7 separate regions of the Mus musculus genome follow, and all the other regions are reported to be linked to region 1. Evidence: microRNA targets listed by miRTarBase, many of them from high-throughput screens and not tested one by one. Region 1 holds a microRNA gene; each other region holds the end of a gene's coding sequence.
The links. Region 1 holds the annotated microRNA mmu-miR-7b-5p (UGGAAGACUUGUGAUUUUGUUGUU, at 1,930-1,953, opposite strand). A microRNA usually pairs through its seed, bases 2 to 8, with sites in the 3' UTR of a target mRNA and lowers its output. Matches are read on the target gene's strand: a 7mer-m8 pairs with bases 2 to 8, a 7mer-A1 pairs with bases 2 to 7 and ends in A, and an 8mer does both.

Region 1 (3,127 bases):
AGCTGAAGCCTGGAGAAGGCAGAGTTGGTTATGGGAGGTTATGTGAGTGGACTGTGCAGACCCAAGAGAGGAAACTGCATGGACAAAGCAGCCCCTGGGCTGCTGTGTGACTGAGTTTGATGTCAGCTTTACACGGGTGGAGCTTAAGGGAAGCAGGAACCTCAATTGAGAAAAGGCCTTTATCAGGTATTTTCATGATTAATGATTTAAGGCCATTGTGGGTGGTGCCATCCTTGGACTGGTGGTCCCAGATTCTATAAGAAAGAAGACTGAGCAAGCCAGGGGAAGCAAGTAAGCAACCAGTAAGCAACACCCCTCTATGGCCTCTGCATCAGCTCCTGCCTCCCGGTTCCAGCCCTGACTTCCCTCAGTGATGGAGTGTGGCCATCATTGTAAGCTGAATAAACTCTTTCCTGCCCTTTTCTTGAGTCAAGGTCCTGTCACAGCACCAGGATGCACACTAGGACAGCTGGGGAGAATTGCACAGTGGGGGATGGTTAGTGACTGCATTAGAATGTCACAGATGATAGGTGTTGAATGTTAAGAATGCCATGACCCACCAGACAACAAGTCCACATTTTCTTGGTATCAGTCATGCAACTAGTGGTTGCTTTGTGTGGCGGGCACAGAGTTTTATTGAAAATTGGGCTGGGGCTCCATGGGTACCGTACCCAGTCAAAGCATTTGAAATTCTGAATCCAACACCGTGTATGCTAGGCATGGTTCTCAGGGACTGGAGGCAAGAGAACTCAGTGTTCAAAGCCATCCTGGGCTACATTCAGAGTTAGAGAAAAGCCTGGACTACAGGTGACACTGTCTCAAAGCAGGCAAAGTGAAAAGAGTGAGGAAAAGAAAACAAGAAAGAGAAAAGAATTTCAGGGTTTTCTAGAAGTACCTTTGATGCCAATCCCTCTTTTAAAAGTTTTATGGCCGGGCAGTGGTGGCGCATGCCTTTAATCCCAGCACTTGGGAGACAGAGGCAGGGAGATTTCTGAGTTCGAGGCCAGCCTGGTCTACAGAGCAACAGCCAGGTCTATACAGAGAAACCCTGTCTCAAAAAACCAAAAAAAAAAAAAGTTTTATGTATGCACATGCTTTTAATTCAAACACTCAGGAGGCAGAGGCAGGTGGATCTCTGAATTTGAGGGTAACCTGGTCTACAGAGTAAGTTCTAAGACAGCCAGGTTTATATACAGAAACCCTCTCTTTTTTTTTTTTTTTTAAATGTAATTCTTTTTTTTTTTTTTAAAGATTTATTTATTTATTATATGTAAGTACACTGTAGCTGTCTTCAGACACCAGAAGAGGGAGTCAGATCTCATTACAGATGGTTGTGAGCCACCATGTGGTTGCTGGGATTTGAACTCTGGACCTTCGGAAGAGCAGTCGGGTGCTCTTACCCACTGAGCCATCTCACCAGCCCCAGAAACCCTCTCTTAAAAAAAAAAAAAAGAAAAATTTTTATGTGTGTTTATTTATTTGTGTGTGGAAGCATGTGTGTCACAGGACATGTATGGTCAGAGGACAACTTGCAGGAGTTGGTTTTATCCTTCTACCCAGTTGATCCTGGGGCTCAAGCTTGGGTTCCCTAATTTCAAAGCACTCTTTCCCTCTGAGTTACTCCACTGGCTCACCATTCCCTATTTGAGTCTCCAGAGAAAGCACGGTGCTGTGACCCAGGGCCCTGAGGTTGTGTCTCTGATCCTATCATGTAGATGTGTTTGAGTGACAGGCCAATAGCATGGGAAACACTCCTGCACTCTCCCAGGGCCCGAGACCTTGCTAGACACCCTCTCCTGTCCGTGCTAGACTTCCCTTAACCCCCTCCTGTCCCAGTTTCCTGCCCCTACCTGTTTGTGTATTTCAGGAGAAAGGTGATAGGAGTCCACGCTATGAGGCTGGCTGTGACTTGTTGTCATATCATATCAGAACAACAAAATCACAAGTCTTCCACATAGCACTGGCTCACGTACTCCGCTCCTCGTCCTCATCCTCCTCCGCCAGGTTCAACACCCTCAAGTGCTTCTCTCTCTCTCTCCATAGAGGATTGAGCATAACAAACCCCACTCACTGACTTACCCTCCCTAGACATCCCTTTTCCATTCCATCCCCTGAGACACAGGCAAGATTCATTCTCTACCTGCCCCCCAACTCACACCCTGGCACATCACCAACGTGGGATTTATTGTTCCAGGCACGAGGAGCACACACTTGTCACCCCAGCACGCAGGGAGTAGAGGCAGGAGGATGAGAACTTCAAGATCATCTTTGGCTACACAAGGAGTTCAAAGCTTGGTCTACAGTGTTTTAAAATAATAATAATTATATATATAATTGAGAGAAAAACTCTTTTTAAAAATAAAAAGAACTTGAGATTTAAAGTTGGATTGAGGCTGGCTTTCCCCTCACCACTTCACTTTGGAAATTAGTACACCCAGAGGCACTCATAACATCTCGTTGACCAAATGCTTCGCCTGTACTCTGTGAGTTTGAAGCCAGCCTAGTCTACATAGTGAGTTTCAGAACAGCTAGAGGTACACACAAAAAAACCCTGTTTCAAAAAAGAAAAAAAAAATCCCTCCGTAAAGGACAAATGCCAAGAACCATTAAGAGGTTCCTTCCCTGTACACTCTCCGCCAGAACAGACCCCAAGGCGATCCCTGAAGCTGGGTGTTGAGAGCTTGGCACTGCCAGGGGCCGGGTGCTGAAGCCTAGTCTCTTCGTGACCCGCTGGGAGCTGTCCGAAATCCTGGTGCTGAAGCCGAACTCTGCTCCGAGTCCCTCAGCCGGATGGCGCTGTCCGCGTCTCCAGTGCTGAAACATAATTAGTTATTGGGGGAGGGGGTGGTCAGTGCGGCTCGAGGACACTCTCCCAGCTTCTGCCTTCTGCCAAAATGCCCCGCTCCTTGTTTCTGTTCTTCGTCCTAGGGACCCATCTTCTGTTTTAATCTCTTCCCATGGACCCGGGGTGTTCTAGGCGGGGACGAAGGCGCAAGGCTCTCACCTGCTCCCACATCTCAGGGAGACAGCCCTGGGTTCTCTGCCCTTCCTAAACAGTCCAGTTGGCCTTCTGGAAGATGTGCCAACTTGCATTGTACCCAGAGTCCCCGCTTCCCTCCCTCAGCGC
Region 2 (3,000 bases), not on the chromosome of region 1:
CGTTGGACACCCGTATCAATGACTTGGGGAGAATAAATCAGTTTAAATTATATTACTATCAATGTAATAGGAACTTAAAAAATGTGTGCGCACACACGTGCGTGTTTTAGTGCATACATGGCATCAGAGGGCAAGCTGCGGGGGTTTCTTCCTCCCCCATGTGGGGCTATGATTTAACTCAGGTTATCACGTTTGGCAACAGGCACCTTTACCAAGCGAACTGTCTCTCTGGCCTCAGTAGAACATTTTTCAAAAGAGAATTTAAGAATTATTTTGTATGTGAAATTTGAAGGGGGAATCAAGGTGCAATACTGGAAGTTAAGAAGAAAGCTTTAGCTTTATGTTTTTAAAGGCAGGCTCGTGTAGCCTCACGTAGCTCAGTGGGTCTTGAACTCTGTATTGGAAGCCGGTCTGGAGCGTCTCATCCTGCCCCCATCTCCCAAGGACCGGAAGTAGAAGCATGCACTACACACTGGGCAGTGTGATTACCTTTTCTTTTCTTTTCTCTTCTTTTTTTTTTAAGATGTAAGAGTCTAGCATTATTCGTTAGCTTTAAATATCTTCTTTGAAAAAAGAAGACTAGTTGGTGGGGCAACTGCCTCCCAGCACTTGGGAGGCAGAGGCAGGTAGATTTCTGAGTTCGAGGCCAGCCTGGTCTACAGAGTGAGGTCCAGGACAGCCAGGGCTATACAGAGAAACCCTGTCTCGAAAAACCAAGGGGGGGGGAGCGAAGATGAAAACCAATGGGTTCCGTTCAACACGACTGTCGCAGAATAGGAAGCTGATCACGCCCCCTTTCACAGCAGCGTTTTCCCTAAATAATGAACTAAAACATACACAGAATTTCAAAGGTATTTTATTCAAAATTCCCCATCTAGGAGAAAAGATATATAACAGTGTTTACACATGCTTCAATAACTTATTCACTGTACAGCTTACATTTTCTATAACAACACAGTAAAGCAGCAAAGACAACAATTAGCACTCAAATAAGATTCTACTGTGTAAAGCAATGAGCGGCACACTAGGAGGTGGGACCTACTCGCTTACCATGACGGAGTGCCTTGCAGTTAGTTCACAAGCCATCATGGTCAGTGTGTGTTGTTCTGATTTGTAATGCCAAAGCCACCGTGACCTTTCAGAATAGAAAGCTTTTTCTCGCTAAATCTGGTGGGTGAGGAACGGGGCCCATTTTTATCCCTTTTGTAAAAAATAAATATATTCTCCCTTTTTATGCTAAGTCCACAGTTTTAAATAGAAACACATATTTGTGTTTGTGTATACTCCTACACTGCTGTTGCACAGAACTCCACTAATCAGTACTTCACAGCTAGCGAGATAGTCGAACGTTACAGGAACAGAAACAGACCACTTGAGTTTGCCATAGTAGCACCTAGAAAAATAGCACTGGGTCAGATTTCTCTGCTGTTCCTATGATGCAGGTGACACGGGAAACACCAGAGTACAGGCAGAAACCAAAGGAAAGAGGCAAGACGCTTCCCTGCTCTTCAAAGATCTTATCAGCGAATGTACTCTGACATACTTAACAAGGACTTCTAATCTAAGCCAGGCACACGGCAGCCGTGCAAAGGGTGGTCAGATGAAAGTGACTGGGCCCTGAAATCTGACCCTCTGCCAAGAAATTATATTTTCCAAGATTGGGAAAGGCACAGGAGGTGCGCATTTTAATTCGGCTCAAAAATAATGAAAATTAACCTTAAAAGTTGGCAACAATTATAAAAACAAATGCCACTTTCTTTGACAGAACTACAATAAACCAACAAAAAACTTGTCACAGGTCACGATACTCAGGGCCCATGCATGACCCCTCGGCATTTCTGTACAGACCGAATCTGAAGGACTACGTCTATAAAGGAAGGGCTAACAACTGATTTCACCTACAGCTCTGCCCTATCAGTGTCTTCTCTCAAGAACTAATCTGTAGTCAGACTAAGTTCCTTTCTGAGGAACTGCAAACTTTAAATGCTCTAATGTTTAGCTGTGGCAGAAGTAATCGGACATACCACAGAACACAGAGGGGCAGGAAGTCAACTCACACTTTATCTGTAAAGCTAACGAGGGTTTCAGTGTGGTACATGTAAACCAGGAATCATAAGTTTCCAAGAAAACAAACAAAACAAAACAAAAAACCAATCAGCAGTTATGGTCAAGTGTATATTCCATCATTCATATCTTTAAAAGACAGCAATAGTACTTAGGATAATTGTAAACATAAGGCCCTAAAAGAGTACATCTATTCTAGGAAGAGTCATTCACTGTAACGATGCACCTGACATCAGGTACAGACTTCTACTGACAAGTGTAGTGTACCCTGTCCTGCAGCAGGACTCGGGAGGAAGGATGTGCCCACACACTGCTGAGACACTGTAACAGCAGGTGTGACTGTGAAGAGACAGACACAGCAAACCACACGGTCAAAAGGTCATTAGAACATCACGTTCTTGTACACTAGTGTAGAAAGGTCTCCCAAAGATGAAAGAGTGTAGGCCTGGCTTAATTTTCTCAGCTAGAGCCATTATTATGTTAAGATCGCCCTCTGCTGTTAAATCAAGATCTATCTTCAGGTTCCGAAGAGACTTAAAGGGCTTTTTCCCCTTCTGCCTATAAACAAAACAAAAGAGACAAAAACCCCCGCATTATAATACAGACAATGTTCAAAGGGAACGAACAGCAACTGTCAATGCATAAAGGCTTTCCTCTAGAGGAGCAGGACTCACGTATCATCCTCGATGTACTTGATTAGTGTCAAGGCTTTTCTGTGAAGAATGAGGAGGAACTGTGCAAGGAAAGTACTCCTGAGAGACAGGCCAGGCTTCAAATGGAAGACCTGCAGGGACACAAGACAGTGCAGCTTCCGCGACATTGTTGACAGGATCTGACACACAACACCCATTACAGCCATTTCTTCCGATTTCCAAAGGGCAAGACTCTGGTAGCGGCAAATGTCTGGAAACCCACTGTCCCCTTTTCAGATTCCCT
Region 3 (3,127 bases), not on the chromosome of region 1:
AGTAGCCATTACCACATTAGACGGACTTCCCCCTCTCCCCAGCTTCCTCTCATCCCATGAGTGTGTAACGATGGATATCGATAACTTTCCCTCTCTGAACTGAGAGCTCAGTGAGGCGCACACCACACATATACCAGCAGAAACATAGCCTGGCATATAGCAGGCACTCAATAAATACTCGTGGACTGATGAAATGTGCTAGTGCCTGCAAAGGGCTACTGGTGTTGCTCCTATCCTTGGCAAGATATATCTTCCTTTTCCAACAAGAGTTCCAATAGGAAATTTAGAGTTACAAGAGTGAGGATTCTTATGGCTGCAAGCAACAGACATCGGGCATCATATAGTGCAGGGTAACACAAGCACTTGGGAGGTTGAACTAGGAAGATCGCATACTTAGGCCAGAGTCTCCCAGGGAGACCTTTCTCAAAACATTAAGGATGTTTCCATAGTAGAGCAGCTGCCTAGAATCCCCCAGTGAGGGGGTGAGAGTGTGGCTCAGTGGTAGAGCCCCTGCCTAGAATCTCACGGTGAGGGGCTGGGGCGTGGCTCAGTGGTAGAGCTTCAGCCTAGAATCTCATAGTGAGGACTGAGTTCAATCCCTAGTACTGTATATACAAAAGGGGAGGAAAAAAAATCAAGATTTTGTGTCTTTTTTTTTTTTTTAATCACTGCCAACAGAAAGCCTGACACAAGTTAGTTTATATAAACACAGGTTTTATTGCTTGTGTGTGGGAGAGGGGGCGTCAGGTAGATTTTGATCCAGCTGCTCTAAAGATGCATTCTGACGGATTCTCCAGCCTTGCCCCTTGTCTTTTTCTGAATTGCTGTCATTCTTTCAATCTTACGCTGGCCTCTTCCTCATTGCTACCTGCTTAGCCCTCTCCACTGTACAGAATAGGTAGAGTCACCCTGCATCCTTAGGCTGTGACACTGAGCCTCTTTGACCAGCCAATTGGAGCTCACTTCCCAAACAGGCAGAATTAGGAAAGGCACTGGGAATTCTCTATCAAATGACCATCCCTCCTTTGCGGTCCACTTGCCCAAATTCTCAATGACATTGACTTCCACAGGCGGGGACTTTGGAAAAAGGCGTTTATTGGTGTGGTGGTCTCAACACTCCCCATGAATTGGAACACACGGCCCCCAGGGCCCCCCTCCCACCTCCCCTTGTCGCCCTCCCCCTCCCCACCCCATCCCGGACCCTGGGAATGGAAGACAATGTGGGATGGGGCCCACGCCCCCGTCTGAGGTACAGTCACTGCCCCTTGCCCCCCTGCCCCTCTCTGCCCTCGTCTTCACCAGGCTCGGAGTGGTGTGATTTTGGGTGTGTGGTTACTGGATTTTGGGCTGGTGGCATGGTGCCTCTGCCTGGGCTCAGAATGTCTGTGCGTCTCCTCTCTCCCAACTCTGTGAGGCCTGACGTGTAGCAAAGTGAGGTGTTCCCATACACAGAACCTGTCAGCTTCCTGTGTGGATGACAGTGGCCCACTCCGGGGAAACTGCTGCTAGTTACAGACTCTGGGGCAGGTGAAGCCAGGAGCTATTGCTGGTCAGTCGCTGGTGTGCATGTGTGCGTGCATGTGTGCATGTGTATGTGTGTTTGTGTGTGCATGAGCGTGCATGTATGCATGCTGTGTGTGTGTGTGTGTGTGTGTGTGTATGTGTGTGTGTGGTCACAGCAGCCTTTGGAGGTATTATGGGTTGAGAGGCCAGGGAGCAGGTTGTCAGAGAGCCCATACTTATGGGCCAGCTGCTGGGGCCCAAGGGCAGCTGGAGGGTACCACTGTGGCCAAGGGGAGTCTTGGGGGTATGGGTGGGGCAAAGCACTGAGACAGACAGGTGACAAGTGCCACTAGCCTATCAATTGAATGGAAGCACCGATTGGCCCGGGAAGAGGGCCAGAAAGTTCAGGGGAAGGGAGGGGAGGAGAGGGACAGGGCAAGGGAGGTTTCAGGCCACTGAGCCAGTGATGGAGCGTCTGGCTGCAGGCAACTGGTGATGGAGCAGGGAGAAACAGCCTTCATGGAGATCCCCACCTATTCACAAAGGCTGAGTGACACCTGACACCCACCCTACCTGCCCCTTCAATAGGGAGGAGAGGGGTAGGTGTTCATGCATATATGGGAAGGTGGAAAGCTGGCAATCTTCTTGTCAAAGCTTCCACCACGAAGCCCCCATACCTACCTCCAGCCAAAGGAAGAGAGGCAGGCAGCAGGGATGGCTAGGGGCCATGGGGGGGTCTGTGCCAGAGAGGGGTGCCTCCTGGTTCCCTCCCCCAGCACACCTTCACACACACACGCGCACACACACACACACACACACACACACACACACACACACACACACGAGCCAGTTGACAGCCTGAGCTAAGAGAGGGGTGTGGGGTGGCTGGGGGTGGGTCACAATTGGAAACGTGAACGGGGTGGCGAGAATGGCTGTAGAAAGATGCATAATTTTTCATAATCCCTCACAGTGATGGGTTCTCTAAAAGACCTTCCTCCTCTTCTTCTTTCTTCCTCTGTGGCTAAGAGCTCTTCTGTCCCCCTGGAGACCCGTGGCTGGCGCTTGCTCACCCCCTTTTTCTCGCTCCTGGCCTGAGGCCCCCTGCAGGGGGGGATGCGCTGTACTGAATGGTGTCTACATTCTCCACCACAGCCAGCTCAGGGCAGAGAGGAGGGTCAGGGGCCCTGGAGGCCTTGGAGCTGAGTTCTCCAGGGATCCTGGGCCTGGGGAAAGAAAAATGATCACAGGGGGATGCTGGGATGATGGGGAGGCCCTGCAGGTCTCTCTCCTAGGTGCTTTCTCCCCCTTCAGCTTCTTGAGGGTCAGTGTGATCAGAACTCTCTGGGGCTTGGGTTCCCTGAGCTGCCCTCATCTGTTTTGGTCTCCATATCTCCCAGATCACCCCCATTTCCTTTCTGGATCCTTGAGATTCCCTTTTCCCTGTTCCTGTCCGAATTTCTAGCAGTCACTTTCTCAGCAGACCAGGAACTTCAGGACAGCTGTGTTTGCTTGACAGTTTGTTGCATTTTGTTTTTTGTTTTGTTTTGATACCACCTTGTTTGCTTTGCTGGGGAGGGGATGTACTGATTTGCTCATGCTAGGAAGATGTTCTACCTCTGACTCA
Region 4 (3,127 bases), not on the chromosome of region 1:
ACAAAGGCCAGTGCTTGAGGAGCATCTGCCCACAAGGGACAAAGGGCCAAGTTTAGGGATGACAGCTTGGTACCAGGGAGCTGGGCTGTGGCCATCTTTCTGGAGCTAGGTCAGAGTGTCTGAGGCCTGGGTGCCTGCTGTCTTTCTCACTTGGTCAGACCACACAGCAAGCTGGCTCACAAGCAAGCTTTCCTGTTTTGGCTATCTTTCATGAAGGTGTTCTAGCAACTTCAGGTGTCCATGCACTGAAGCAGAAACTGAGCTGCTTAGTCTTTCCCTGAGGCTGGCATAAGACACTGCCAGCAGTCTGCCTTCTGGTTGATGGTCCTCTGGCCCCTGCCTCAGTGGCAGCTTCTTTGCTAATCCCTGATGGGTTGCCTCTGGTCGCTGCAGCCATTAACACTGTCTGCATTGGCCTAGTGTTCTTACCACTGTCATTTGAGGTGGAGATTGGAGACCTTGAAAAGAAGTTTCGAAGTGCTATACCTTGACACCACTAACCTAGTGATTTCTGCAGGCCAACACAACCAGTGTAAGCCTGCTCATGACTGCAAATGTCCCATTCTGTCCTTAACAGAAGGTTGCTGCCAGGTGACTTGGTAGCAGGTACCTGGGAAAGGTGAATGGTATCTTACAAGTTTGGCACGCAAAGGCTGCACAGATCACAGAGGCTTTGGAAAGAGAATGTGTACTAACCTCAAGGCATGGAAGAGGGATGACTGAGAGACCAGGGAGAGTGAAGGGAAGCTGGACTTAAAACAGGTATCAAGGACTGGCCACATGGCCGCCCTCCTAGACATGTTGGTCCTCAAGCAAAGCACTCAGGACCCCAGGCATCAAAGAGAACATAGGCCAGCTGCCAGAAACAGGGTTGCATATGGAATCAGTACTCTCAAGAGGGCTTGATCAAGGCGGCTGGATTCCACTGATGTCTCTATCAGATGTGGAAGAGAAGTGGGTAAGACTGTAAGAAACAGATCAGACAAGGAGCTGGAAGGGGCTCAACTCAACCCTTTTTCTGGCCTTTGAATTCTAGCAACTGTCATTTAGAAGTCACTTTGTTGCCTACATAGGCCCAAGGCCATGATTTCCCTGGAAGAGCACGTGGGAGAGACGCATGGCAAGAGGCAAGGCAGATGGTTGATAAGAAGCCACGATGCCCAGAGAAGCTGGTGCCTGAGCTGCTGCAAGAGGTCCAGAGGCTGGTTTCTTAGCAGCCCTGGTGCCCTGCTGTCTGGGGCAAGATGAGGGACACAGATAAAGGACATCCTGGGAGGCTGGTACAGGATGGGAGTTGAGCTTTGGTGAGTTATTGCTTTCTCTCACTTCTTGCTGCTTTCAAGGGACTAGAGGCCACGTGGACTGACCTGTGAGCAACCTGCACTCCTGCCCAGGGCCCTTTTGTGCTGAGTGAGTGACAGGCAGGAAGCCATTGAGGAAGACATGAGGTGGACCGCCTCCAGGTGCTGTGGGCACTGTTGTGATGTCAGAGTGGCAGCCATCCAAGCTGGAGCTCTCTATGGTATGTGCTGGAGACGTGAGTGGCGGCCATGTGTGGGACATCGAGACTCCCTCCTGGGATTTGCCTTTTTCTGTTATTTTCCTTTTGTTTGGAGTTCTGGAAGTGGCCACATTTTCAAGTAGTACTGGCAACAGGGCTGGCTGGGGAAGAGGGACCTTTGCTGCTGGAGCTCAGTCAAGGAAAGTGTCTTAGCAGAAACAAACATGGCTCCCACCTCAACACAACAGCTGCTGTGGACTTAACTAAGCAAACCGGGCGGCGGCGGGAACTGGCGCTTTCTCATCATGTAGGATTTCTGGTGAAGTATGGAAGTTTCCCCACAAAAACTTCCAGATCAAGTACAAAAGGATGATCCTGAAGGAAAGAAAGATTAAGCTGGCTCGTATGACATCTGGAGGCTGTTTTCCCAACACAGCATGGAAACTACCTAACAAACAGAAAGTAAAGTACCCAACTTTAAAATATACAGACTCTAGGAAAAGAAAAAAAGAAAAACAACAATTCATGTACATTTTCCTCTGTGTAAAATGTAGTCCCAAGGACTCTCTGCTTGAGAGGCACAGCTGTCCATGGCAGGGAGCCTGGAGGTAGGGGTCCTGGCCTACAGATGACCTCTGTCTCCTTGAGTGGAGAAGGAAATTGAGTCTGGCCTCCAGGGAGGGGACTGGCCACTGCATTGGTCACTTACAGGGACTTCCTCAGAGTGACCCTCACTCCTGAAGGAGGTTCTGCTTCATGATCAGTGGAGGGGGGAAGGGGATAAAGTGCTTCTCGTAAAAATGACCAAAATAAATACAAACATTGAATGGCAGAAAAGAAAGTCTTCAGAGGGTTATTTCCAGAGCATCTGGTTTCTCAGATGTGTTCCTCGGATGTCTGGAAAGACAGAATTCCCCACACCGGTTGAAAGTCTCACAATTGAGTGGAGTCAGCAGCAGAGATGGACTTCCTCCCTGGTCTGTAAACCTGTGTGCAAACTCTCCCCAGCCCTTCAAGCCCCGGGGGGACTGGTGGAATGGTGGCGTGGTCCAGCGAGCTACATAGTCTTCATGCCATTGGCAGTGGCCCCCTCTGGCAGCCCGTCACCCACTGCAGCCACGTCATGCAGGCCCGAGTAGTCCTTGAGCTCCGCGTTGGTGAGCAGCAAGGGCTGCTCTCCCTTCTTGTGTGGCAGCAGCGGTTGCCGTGTGTAGTGTTCCCCGTTGGCGATATTCTCAGGCAGGTTCTGGTTCCTGCTCTCAGGAAGCAGGAGGATGCAAATGATGCAGATGAGCGTGCAGCAGGCGAAGATGATATGGTGCAGGAAGTAGCCTTTTTGGTTGTGCAGCTCAATAATGGGCGCTGTCAGCATGCCAAAACCTGCACTGGCCAGCACCAGCCCGAGCCCACCACACCTGCATGGGGAGAGAGCACAGGCTTAAATGGAACATAAGGGTTTGGCGCAGGTAGGGTGGAATGGGAGCACAGGTTGGTTGGTATGTGCTAAGTACTATGGCTGTTAGGGTAAGCTCATAGCACTGTTCCAGAAACTCAGTGTTAGAAACCTCATCTCAAATTCAAATGTTGGTGGAATTCAGACATGGGAGGGAGCTTTAAGAATAATTA
Region 5 (3,127 bases), not on the chromosome of region 1:
ATGGAGCCTCCCACTACCCAGCTGCCAATCCGTCTGTCATCGTTTGCTGCCCCACCTCTGAAAACGATAGTGGGGTGCCCTGTAACCCCTTGTATCCTGAACACAGGTCCAATCTTCCCCAAGTGGAGTTTCACTCATACTTGAAAGGCCCTGCCCAGGAAGGGTTTGTTTCCACATTGAATGGCGACAGCCACATTTCAGAGCATCCTGCAGAAAATCCTTTGAGCCTTGCAGAAAAGAGCAGATTGCATGAAGAGTGCATTCAGTCCCCCGTGGTGGAAACGGTCCCCGTTTAGTTGCTTAAATTATTCTATTACAGGACCAAGTCTTCTATTTAAGGCACTGTATTGCCTTTGCTGGGCTCATCGTTGTTTAAACCTGAAGGCCAAGAGTTATGTGGACTGTGATTAATCTTCCAGACAGTATTTCCTTCCTTCCTTTCTAGCTTCCCAACTGTGGCGTGGCACAAATACAGTCGCTATGGGGATTTTAAACGATTTTGAACTGTTTTGATAGAAAAATGCTAAATTTAAAAAAAATGCATATCTTACAGTTGCCTACCTGTCAAACTGTGTGAAACCTGCCAAGCTATGCAGATCATAGCTCCAAGTTTTAGATTATCGGGCCTGTGCAAGATTGTTAACTAAGACTAGAAAACAAGCAGATTTAGAGTCCTAATTTTTCGATATATCTGAAGATGATGGTGACTTTTTAATGTAAAAGTAATTATTGTAAGAAAAAAAAAGATTGAATCGTTTCTTGTGTATTTTATTTATGGTAGTTTAGAAGTCATGCTTTGAAGAAAATGAACAGCATGTTCATTGAAGCTGAAGACGTGTTAGCTAGCACCACAGAGCATGCCCAGACGATTGCATCTGGAATCCACCCACATTTTTACGATCATGACTCAGCAGATTTGCAAATACTTTCTTAAGGATGAAATAGGCCTATTTTTGCTATTTGGGACAAATGAGTCTATACGTGCAGGTCCTTATGCAGTTTTCTCTCACGTTAAGAGTTAGGACAATCCTCTGGCGAGGGTCTAGTCCTCCGCTCTCCCTCAGCTGAGATAGACGGAATTGCCTTTCCTTTGTTAAACAGTGTCATCTTGTTTCTTAGCTTGGACAGCACCTTTAAACTCAACTCCCTCCTTCAGAATGCACTTTAGTGCCCCTTCACGGTACCTCGTGTGGGATGGGGTCTCAGAAGGCTTTGAAATATTTTTTTTTTAATTATTAAAAAAAAGTAACTAAGGTTCATACAATAGAGAGAGAGGATTCTTCCAATGACATGAAGGAAAATGACTTGTTTCTTGTTTTCCTTCACCGCTCTAGGACCTAACTCAATCCTTACAGCGAGAAGGCTGGGGGTGGGGGCAGAGCCTCAGCACCCCATCACCCTCTACAAATGCAAAAATGTGTAATGCCACTTAATGGCTAGCTGATTCAAGGCAGGCCTGGGCTCACTGACTCATTAGGCTTCGTTTTCTGGAGCTTTTTTTAAAAAAAAAGTCTGTCTTGCCTGGGGTAGTCAGCAGCACATCCCAGAATGCATTGCGAAGGCAGCCACCTCACCTTCTCTTCCTTAGTAAAGAGAACGAATAGAAAGGAGACACTCCCCGCCCGCCTGCTTCGAGCCTCACCTCAGAGGACTTGGAGCAACTTCTTTCCCATCAGCTTAAGCAGCTATAGAACGAGTGTTACGGTTTCCCCCATGCAGTTATTCTGCTGAATCTGTTTTCCAGTTTTGACATTGTATTGTGGCATCATTTCTCATACTTTATGGCTATTTAAAAACGCAGACACACCCCTACTTCGTAGTAACGGCGTCTTCTAAGTTTTTTATGCCTCCTTGATGTGGGCATTTGAATAACTTTCGGATTTCAGTTCCTTACAGAATACTATTTGATCTGACGAGGCTTGAATGTGCTTCAGAGTCCTCTGGTGGGAAGCCGCTACTTAAACTCCATGTGGGGAAAGTACGTTCGCTTGTGGAGTTGTTTCTTCTCTAAACCACCTCAAGACTAAATAAATCAACGCTAATTTTTACTACCATTAAAAGGACTTTGGGTTTGTCATGCTATTGAAAGCAGTAATGGGGGCTGACTACTCCTTTTGGTTGACCGGTGGGGCTAATCTGGTGGGAATTCTGTGGTAATATGTCCAGAGTTCTCTGCAGCGTTGCCATCAGTAGCATTTGGTTTCCAGTTAGGCTGCCTCCTGCCCACACAATCTAAAGGGCAGGGGCTCAGAGAAGAAATGACAAAAAGCTATTGTTCCTTCGTTCAAGCTAATGAAAGAATTCTGTGTTCCATATTTGCTGGGCCATTCCAACCTCTGGAAGTATCTCCTGGTGAGACACTCGCAGGCTATTCTTGGAACAGAGTGTGGGGCGGCCCCGGGTAATCCTGACTAAGGTAGAGTTGATTTGGTGAATGACAGTCCACTTCCTGGATCCTCAGAGATGTTTCTTTCAGTCCAGCTTTATTTTCACAAAGTTTGGAGCATTTTTGTATCTCATTTGGTTTTTCTTTTGTAGTCCTTGCTTTTCAGAAACAGAGCTTTCTTCCTTTCTCTATTCAAGTGAGATAAAAAGTTTCACTCTGCTAAGGATAATTACCTTTCTAAGCATGAAAACAGACATGCTAAGTTTTCACATCCCTAAGTAGACATCCCTCATGAATCAGAATCGTTACAGGCCATCTATTTTAGCAACAATAGCAAATCAAACCCTACTTGCCTTATCTTTATTAGACACACACAAACACAGAATACACATACAACATCCTCTAGAGAGGGGCAGATTGTGGGCAGTAGGTAGTAATGAATACTGGATAGTTAGTTCCTCAAGTACAATCAGGCTCTGCTTTACCTAAAACCATAAAGAGAAGAGAATTTTGAGAGCGATTGGTTGAAAGCATTCAGTTAAAGTCACAAATAATATTAATGAGGAATTATTTCATTGTGACTTCCTTTCCCAGAAGGAACAGAACAGAGAACACAATGGTTGTTCTGGCTTGTTCTTCCTGCTAATAGACCTACTCAATAGAGCAACCCAAGTGCCAGGCAGGTTCCAGGCAAGTGCCTCAGTCATGACTGCTTTTCAAGGGGAGAGGGGCACTTAGCTG
Region 6 (3,127 bases), not on the chromosome of region 1:
AACAGGCCAAGAAGTGCCAGCCCCCACTGGGATTATTAGGAGGCTCAGTATGGAAAAAAAGGAAGGGACAAACCCTGGAGATGGCTTTAACCATGACATACGGTCCCCATAGGCTGGCAAAGGAGGAGGTGAGCCGGCAGGAGCTAAGGCAGCGGGTCCGCATGGCCGACAACGAAGTCATGGATGCCTTCCGGAAGATCATGGCTGCCCGGCAGAAGAAGCGCACCCCTACAAAGAAGGAAAAGGACCAGGCCTGGAAGACCCTGAAGGAGCGGGAAAGCATCCTGAAGCTCCTAGACGGGTAGCCTGACCTGCTGCTGGCTATCCCCCTGGCCTGGCAGAAGTCCACAACATCCTTTGAAGCCTTGGCCAGAGGCTGCCTATCAAATGACAACAGTCTCAGGGCTGAAACACTCTCAGGCCACCCAGCTGAGCTTTGTGCAGCCAGTATGCAAGGCCCTACTGCGCCTGCCTGGACCTAGCATCCGCCTGATGCCCCAGATGAGCGGGCTTGTTCCTCATCCCCTCCCCCCTTACCGTCTCCACACCTCTCCTCAGGGACTTCTTCCTTGAGGTTTTGTAATGTACAAACTTAAGAATAAAGTGACTGCTGTGTTTCATTTTTTAAACAAAAAAAAGTTATAAAAAAACCACCCGCAAGTTTAGTATCTATCTATTATTTGTGGGGTAGGAAGAACAGGCAGGTGGAAGGGTTTAGTGGGGCATGCTTGGGGTCTCCGCTGTGGCCACTCACCCGGAACATTTATTTTTGAGCTCTAATTTCTGAGGGTCTGGTGGTAGGAGGGTGGGTTCCTGGTTTCCTGGGGCAGGATTGCATTCAGAGCTACTGCACGGGGCCACCAAGGACCTGTTCCCTCAGGTGTTTCTTCCATGCCAGCTATCACTGGGATGTCTCTTCAGCTGTGGGTGGCAGACAGGGTCTGTCACTGAGGAAAACCTAAAGCCAGCTGGCCATGGCCTTGTCCCAGATGTCCCTGTGTGTCGTTTCTAAGCCCAAATTGGGGCTCTCCTATGCATTGCTAGCACAATCTCTTGGGTTAAGGGATCTTTTACTGCAGTGGTTGTCAACCTGTGGGTCATGACCCTTTTGGGACTAGAATAACCCTTTCGCAGGAGTCGCTCATCAGATATTTATATCGTGATTCATGACAGTAGCAAAATTACAGTTATGAATGTACAAACTTAAGAATAAAGTGACTGCTGTGTTTCATTTTTTAAACAAAAAAAGTTATAAAAAAACCATCCGCAAGTTTAGTATCTATCTATTATTTGTGGGGTAGGAAGAACAGGCAGGTGGAAGGGTTTAGTGGGGCATGCTTGGGGTCTCTGCTGTGGCCACTCACCCGGAACAGTTATGAAGGAGCCACAAAAAATCATTTTATGATTGGGAGTCTCCAATATATAAGGAACTATATTAAAGGGTCACATCACTAGGAAGGTTCAGAACCGCTGGTCTACTTGGACCTCATTTTAGAAGTTTTGTTTTGAAAATGGGCTCCTGGCTGGTTCTAAACTTGTGGCAATTCTCTTGCTTCGTTCAGCCTTATATCTGCTGGGATTACAGGCCTGAGCCATGGTGATACCTGACCTACTCAGAACCCCAACCATGCAGCCCCACAAAGTTCTACCCACAGTGATAGCAGAACCCACCAGGATCCGGGCAGATAACAAATGTAGCGTGGACTACCAACATTGTATCATAGCCAGGGGAGTCAGTCCAAGGAGTGCACACAGACTGTACTCTGCTCTCCCAGTTCTCTCCAGGCAAGGGCTAGAGCCGGAGGGGGTTGGCAGTCTGCTACGGCAAAGGATAGGCAATGAGCTTTGAACCTAGCCATAAGAGAGATGTAGTAGAAAAGCCTGTAATCAGAAGCTAAGGTAGGAAGGCTGCAGGTTCAAGGCCTGCTTGAGCTATATAGTAAGACCCTGTCTTTAAAAAAAATAAAATAAAAAAGTAAGAGGGTGGCATCTCTCCATTTCAGGAATGTCACTGTCAAGATAGGGTGGACATGTTACCCTAGCCCAGCCAGTCATAATGATTGGTCTAAAACTGGCCATGTGTCTCAATCTGGGGTCACTCAGGCCTTCCTTAAAATTGCTCTTTGGGGTCTGGAATGGTTATATGAATCGACATTCTTAGCCCTTAGGAAGTAGACACAAGGTCAGGAGTTCAAGGATAGCCTCAGCTACTTCGCATGTTCAAAGACAGTCTGAGTGAGTTGCTTGAGACCTTGTCTCAAAAACTGGACAACAATTGGAGTTGAGCAAGATGGTGCAGCCTGTAATGCCAGCACTGTGGGGGTGGACATAGCAAAATTGAGTCCAAGGTCATCCTGGGCTGGACATCAAGCTTGAGTGTTAGCATCGGCCACATCAGGCCCTGTCTCTGACACAACAGAACGAAAAGGAAGGGGAGGAGAAGCAGAAGGGAAGGACAAAGAGCAAATAGAGGAGGCGTTCCCAAGGTACCCAGTGGCCTGCTTTCCTGCCACTGCGAAGGACCCCAACTCAGACGCAGGAGCTGGAGAAGCAGGCACGCCCAAAGCCATGTGACCTCCCCGACACAGACTGCTTAGTTACATCAGCCTGGAGAGGCTTCAGTTAGCCTAAGCAAGGTTGTTTTGGAGTTTTGTCATTTGTAAATAAAAAAGGTCTGACTAATCTGTATATTTGGACAAATAGAAAGATGGAGGAAGGGCCTGAGGGAGTGACATCAGGCTCTCTGCCTGCTTCTAGATGCAGGGACAAGTAATGACTCATTGTCCCCAGACTGTTCATATCTTCTCAGGACAAAAAAAAAAAAGACCCACACATGAAGCAAAGGCAGCAATTCTAACAATAATGATGAAATTAAGTATTCAGAAGGTATTAGCTAGGTTCCAGCTGCTGTCCTAACCTTGTTTGTGCATACAGTAGGGTACCAACAGCATCCCATCTTTCCCAGATGAGAAAGCAGAGGCTTAGGAAGTTTATACATCTTGCTTGGATTAAGTGGTTGAGCCAGGATACAAACCCAGCCACGTGACTTGGAGGCAGTCCTTGTTCTATAATTCAGTATGGGACTCCCTGTCCCAGTAAGAGCCCATGTGAATAGCATCTCTTTCCC
Region 7 (3,127 bases), not on the chromosome of region 1:
AACAATCAGCAAGATGACAGCTCTAAAGTATTTTCTTACTGTTATATGTCTCGGATTAACACAGAAAACCAACCCCACCTCAACCAGATGCTAAAGCTAAGTTATCAAAAGAACCAGTGCTGTTGACTTTAAACCCTTAGACCTCTGCTCAGGACCTGTATGTCACACCTTGGATGCTCATGGTCCACCCATGAGCAGTGTATAGTGAGAGCTGTAACTGGCTTCTAGTTAACATCTAAGTATGCAGCTTTTCCAGTTAGAAAATCACTCTGCTGCAGACAGAGACACTGGAATTGTGAAAAAGACATTTTTAATTGTCTGAGAGATAGAAAGAGGGAGGACAACGTGCCTCGCAGACTTCAGAGTTTCTGCATGGCTAAGTGGTGAAGTCTATCTGAGACCAGTACAGGTTACCCTCCCCTGCCACCACTCCCCCTTCCTTCTTCTTCCTCTGCTGTATGCTCGGCCCTTCATGACACAGTTCTCAGTGCTGTTAACTACAGCCTGAAAAACTGAATATGCTTTCTCAACACAAAGGTGATAAGCTTTAACTTCCCATTCAAAAGCAGAGAAGCAACCAAATCTAGGAATAAGTTGAAAGCTGAGCCTTGTCTCCTGTCTAGGAAACTGGTCACAAGTAAGCTAGAATTTGTCATGATTAGGAAGGTCTTTCGCATCCAAAAGTAAAAAGCGCATGATCCTCCACCCCAACCGACTTCCTCTCACTGTCCTGTGTGCCTGCCAGTCACAGCAGAGCGGCTGCCAAGTGAGCCGCGTCCCTCATGACAAACGTCAAGGACACAGAAAGCCAGTGCACGCTGCGCGTCCTAAGGACACAGAAAGCCAGTGCACGCTGCACGCATCCTAAGGACACAGAAAGCCAGTGCACGCTGCACGCGTCCTAAGGACACAGAAAGCCAGTACACGCTGCACACGTCCTAAGCGCACTGCGGCTGAATGCGCAGGCTAAGTTACAGTTCTCTCACGGCTGAGGAGGAATTACTCTCCCAAAGCAGAAACTCCTCGGCAATACTTATTTTATAAAATTTTATAAACAGGAATATTAGCCCCAAATTGTATTTTATAAATACTTAGCGCCAAGGAGTTTTTGCTTTGTGGGAATAAATAATTCCTTTTTAAAAGAACAACTGGAGACCAGTGACCATTTGATCAACCGTGTCACTTTCCAACCTTTATATTTTAACATTTATAGTTTTCCTTTTTCTAGTCCCTTTTACAAACAGAATAAAAACACAGTTCCTCTGAGTATATGAATTCCTCTACAGAAGACATGGGACTCAGCTGGCATTGAACTTTGGACTTAAAATTACTACCCTGAGATAACCTGAGATGGCTCTTTGGTATGTAACAGGCAACTGTGGGGGCAACTTATGAAAACTAAAGATTCAAAAGTGGAAAGGTAACTGAAACAAATAAGGTTAATAACTTTAGAGTTGAGAGACAAATTAGAAATAATGTATTTGACAATTCATAATAAGAATAAGTAAGGCTCAGGCTTGGTTAACATCACGTTTCTCAGAGATGTCAAAGCTAGAACTATAGTTTGGGTCTAGTATTCCTAGCCAACTATTCCTTATACCATAGAGTGCTAAGAGTGGAGAAGTTGTTATGGAGACGTCTTGATCCTTCTTATAACATCCAAAAAGTTCAAATTCTGATTTCTAATGCTTTAGTTCAGGTCCTATGAGTGAAGAGTGATACTCAGGATTTGAAGGCGAAGACCAAGAAAGGACAACTCAGAGCATGTAAGCCTGTAAGGTCTGATCCCAGTCTTTCCCTCCTGTCCTGACACAGCCGACTTCTACACTAATGCACACATTGCTATCTGCCTTGAGTGTTTGTAAAACTGTGCTAGCAAATCCCAAGAGTAGAGCCGAGTATGGACACTGAGCACAGCTCCTGTGTGGCTGCTGCACCACAGGCAAGCTTCTCTCTCTCCAGGCAGCCACGCTTCAGAGCGTACATACACAGTGCACTCGGTCCCTGCAAACTAAGAAGTGAGCATTTTTTCTTCAGAACAAGCTACATCAGGACAAGTAACAGAGTCAGGCAGAAGCTAACCTAAGAGAACATTTCCACCGACAAATTCTCCAACATGAGTTTGCAATGCCCAGGGAGAGCAACATTATCCGTACATGGTGTATATTTAAGGCTAAAAACTATTTAAGGTGGCTGCTTGCATTAGGAACTTAAAAACAAAAAATTTTTAAGAGAAAATTTCAAATTTCAAAAAGTAAAAGTGAAAATTTGAGAAGTTAGCATATATTTGTTTTTATTTATAGATAACTACCATAGAACTATCGAGAAGGGAAATGGCATCAACATGAAACTTACAACAGGTAGGCGACGGCATGCGGGGAGGGAACAATATTCCTATACACTTGGACAGGAAGAACACCACTGACACGGAGGTATGTACTTAGTGCGGAATAAGGAATTGTGGCTACTTAGAAATATGCAGAACTTACTTAATCTGTGCTTTAGAAATAATTATATATAGTATTACAAGTTCAAAAGAATCCAAAAGAATAATTAACAATATACACCCAAGTGTTAGAATTCAGAAAAGGCTGCATTCTGTAAAGTTGTCAGCTGTATTAAAAATGACACCAATCCAAAACAAAGTGAATATAATATAAAAAGGCATTGTAAGCTTTGCTTCCTGTATTAAACCCAGATTATCCATGGCATTTTCTTTTAACACTCATTTAATCAGAAGCATGCAAATAGTTTGAGATCTACTTAATCATTTTTGCCAAATTTGCTAAGGCTACAGCCGCTTTTCAGGCTAGGCAGGGATTCGGGTAGCTGCCTCCTCCTCTGCGTCAGCTCGGTTTGCGTTAATTTCTGCGAGTGTTCGGCCAAATCTTGCCCATTCATCATTTCGGGGAACAGCGATCTGCTGTTAAAAGAAAGACAATGTTTGCTGAGCAATGAAATAAAAATTCATCTTATCTACTATTACTTTGTTTTCAAGTAATCTTTCTGTTGAAAAGTAATAACTGACCTAAAGAGCCTTTCCATAATTACAGCGACTATAACAATGATTTACAACATTTCAAAACAAAAGGTGTTTGTAAAACATGTCGTGGCAGCCTCAGAAATG

Region 2: miRTarBase lists C9orf72 as a target of mmu-miR-7b-5p. The part of its 3' UTR that is shown has no 7-base or 8-base seed match.
Region 3: miRTarBase lists Iglon5 as a target of mmu-miR-7b-5p. Seed matches in the 3' UTR shown: 8mer at 1,210-1,217.
Region 4: miRTarBase lists Slc22a23 as a target of mmu-miR-7b-5p. Seed matches in the 3' UTR shown: 7mer-m8 at 1,437-1,443, 7mer-A1 at 1,094-1,100, 7mer-A1 at 945-951 and 7mer-A1 at 706-712.
Region 5: the mRNA of Csrnp3 is a reported target of mmu-miR-7b-5p. Seed matches in the 3' UTR shown: 7mer-A1 at 412-418 and 7mer-A1 at 1,279-1,285.
Region 6: miRTarBase lists Tada3 as a target of mmu-miR-7b-5p. The part of its 3' UTR that is shown has no 7-base or 8-base seed match.
Region 7: the mRNA of Dync1i2 is a reported target of mmu-miR-7b-5p. The part of its 3' UTR that is shown has no 7-base or 8-base seed match.

The regions. Positions count from the first base shown.
Region 1 is chr17:56,241,843-56,244,969 of GRCm38, reverse strand. Mir7b (microRNA 7b) reads right to left here and starts at 1,982; the gene lies at 1,872-1,982. A230051N06Rik (RIKEN cDNA A230051N06 gene) reads right to left here. Exons shown (of 2, transcript NR_155493.1): 2 at 2,165-2,814.
Region 2 is chr4:35,190,447-35,193,446 of GRCm38, forward strand. It overlaps C9orf72 (C9orf72, member of C9orf72-SMCR8 complex), which reads right to left. Exons shown (of 11, transcript NM_001081343.2): 10 at 2,739-2,848; 11 at 839-2,622. The coding sequence ends at 2,436. Among named protein-coding and RNA genes, the nearest start is that of C9orf72, 34 kb to the right of the region's middle.
Region 3 is chr7:43,471,826-43,474,952 of GRCm38, forward strand. Iglon5 (IgLON family member 5) reads right to left here. Exons shown (of 8, transcript NM_001164518.2): 8 at 1,079-2,726. The coding sequence ends at 2,638. Vsig10l (V-set and immunoglobulin domain containing 10 like) reads left to right here. Exons shown (of 10, transcript NM_001368881.1): 10 at 1-189. Among named protein-coding and RNA genes, the nearest start is that of Gm39000, 6.8 kb to the left of the region's middle.
Region 4 is chr13:34,180,396-34,183,522 of GRCm38, forward strand. Slc22a23 (solute carrier family 22, member 23) reads right to left here. Exons shown (of 10, transcript NM_001382849.1): 10 at 1-2,916. The coding sequence ends at 2,559. Among named protein-coding and RNA genes, the nearest start is that of Gm52037, 16 kb to the right of the region's middle.
Region 5 is chr2:66,022,728-66,025,854 of GRCm38, forward strand. It overlaps Csrnp3 (cysteine-serine-rich nuclear protein 3), which reads left to right. Exons shown (of 7, transcript NM_153409.5): 7 at 1-3,127. The coding sequence ends at 296. Among named protein-coding and RNA genes, the nearest start is that of Gm52514, 96 kb to the left of the region's middle.
Region 6 is chr6:113,364,166-113,367,292 of GRCm38, reverse strand. It overlaps Tada3 (transcriptional adaptor 3), which reads left to right. Exons shown (of 10, transcript NM_001372392.1): 10 at 113-660. The coding sequence ends at 305. Among named protein-coding and RNA genes, the nearest start is that of Tada3, 12 kb to the left of the region's middle.
Region 7 is chr2:71,262,444-71,265,570 of GRCm38, reverse strand. It overlaps Dync1i2 (dynein cytoplasmic 1 intermediate chain 2), which reads right to left. Exons shown (of 16, transcript NM_010064.4): 16 at 2,268-2,923. The coding sequence ends at 2,810. Among named protein-coding and RNA genes, the nearest start is that of Dync1i2, 52 kb to the right of the region's middle.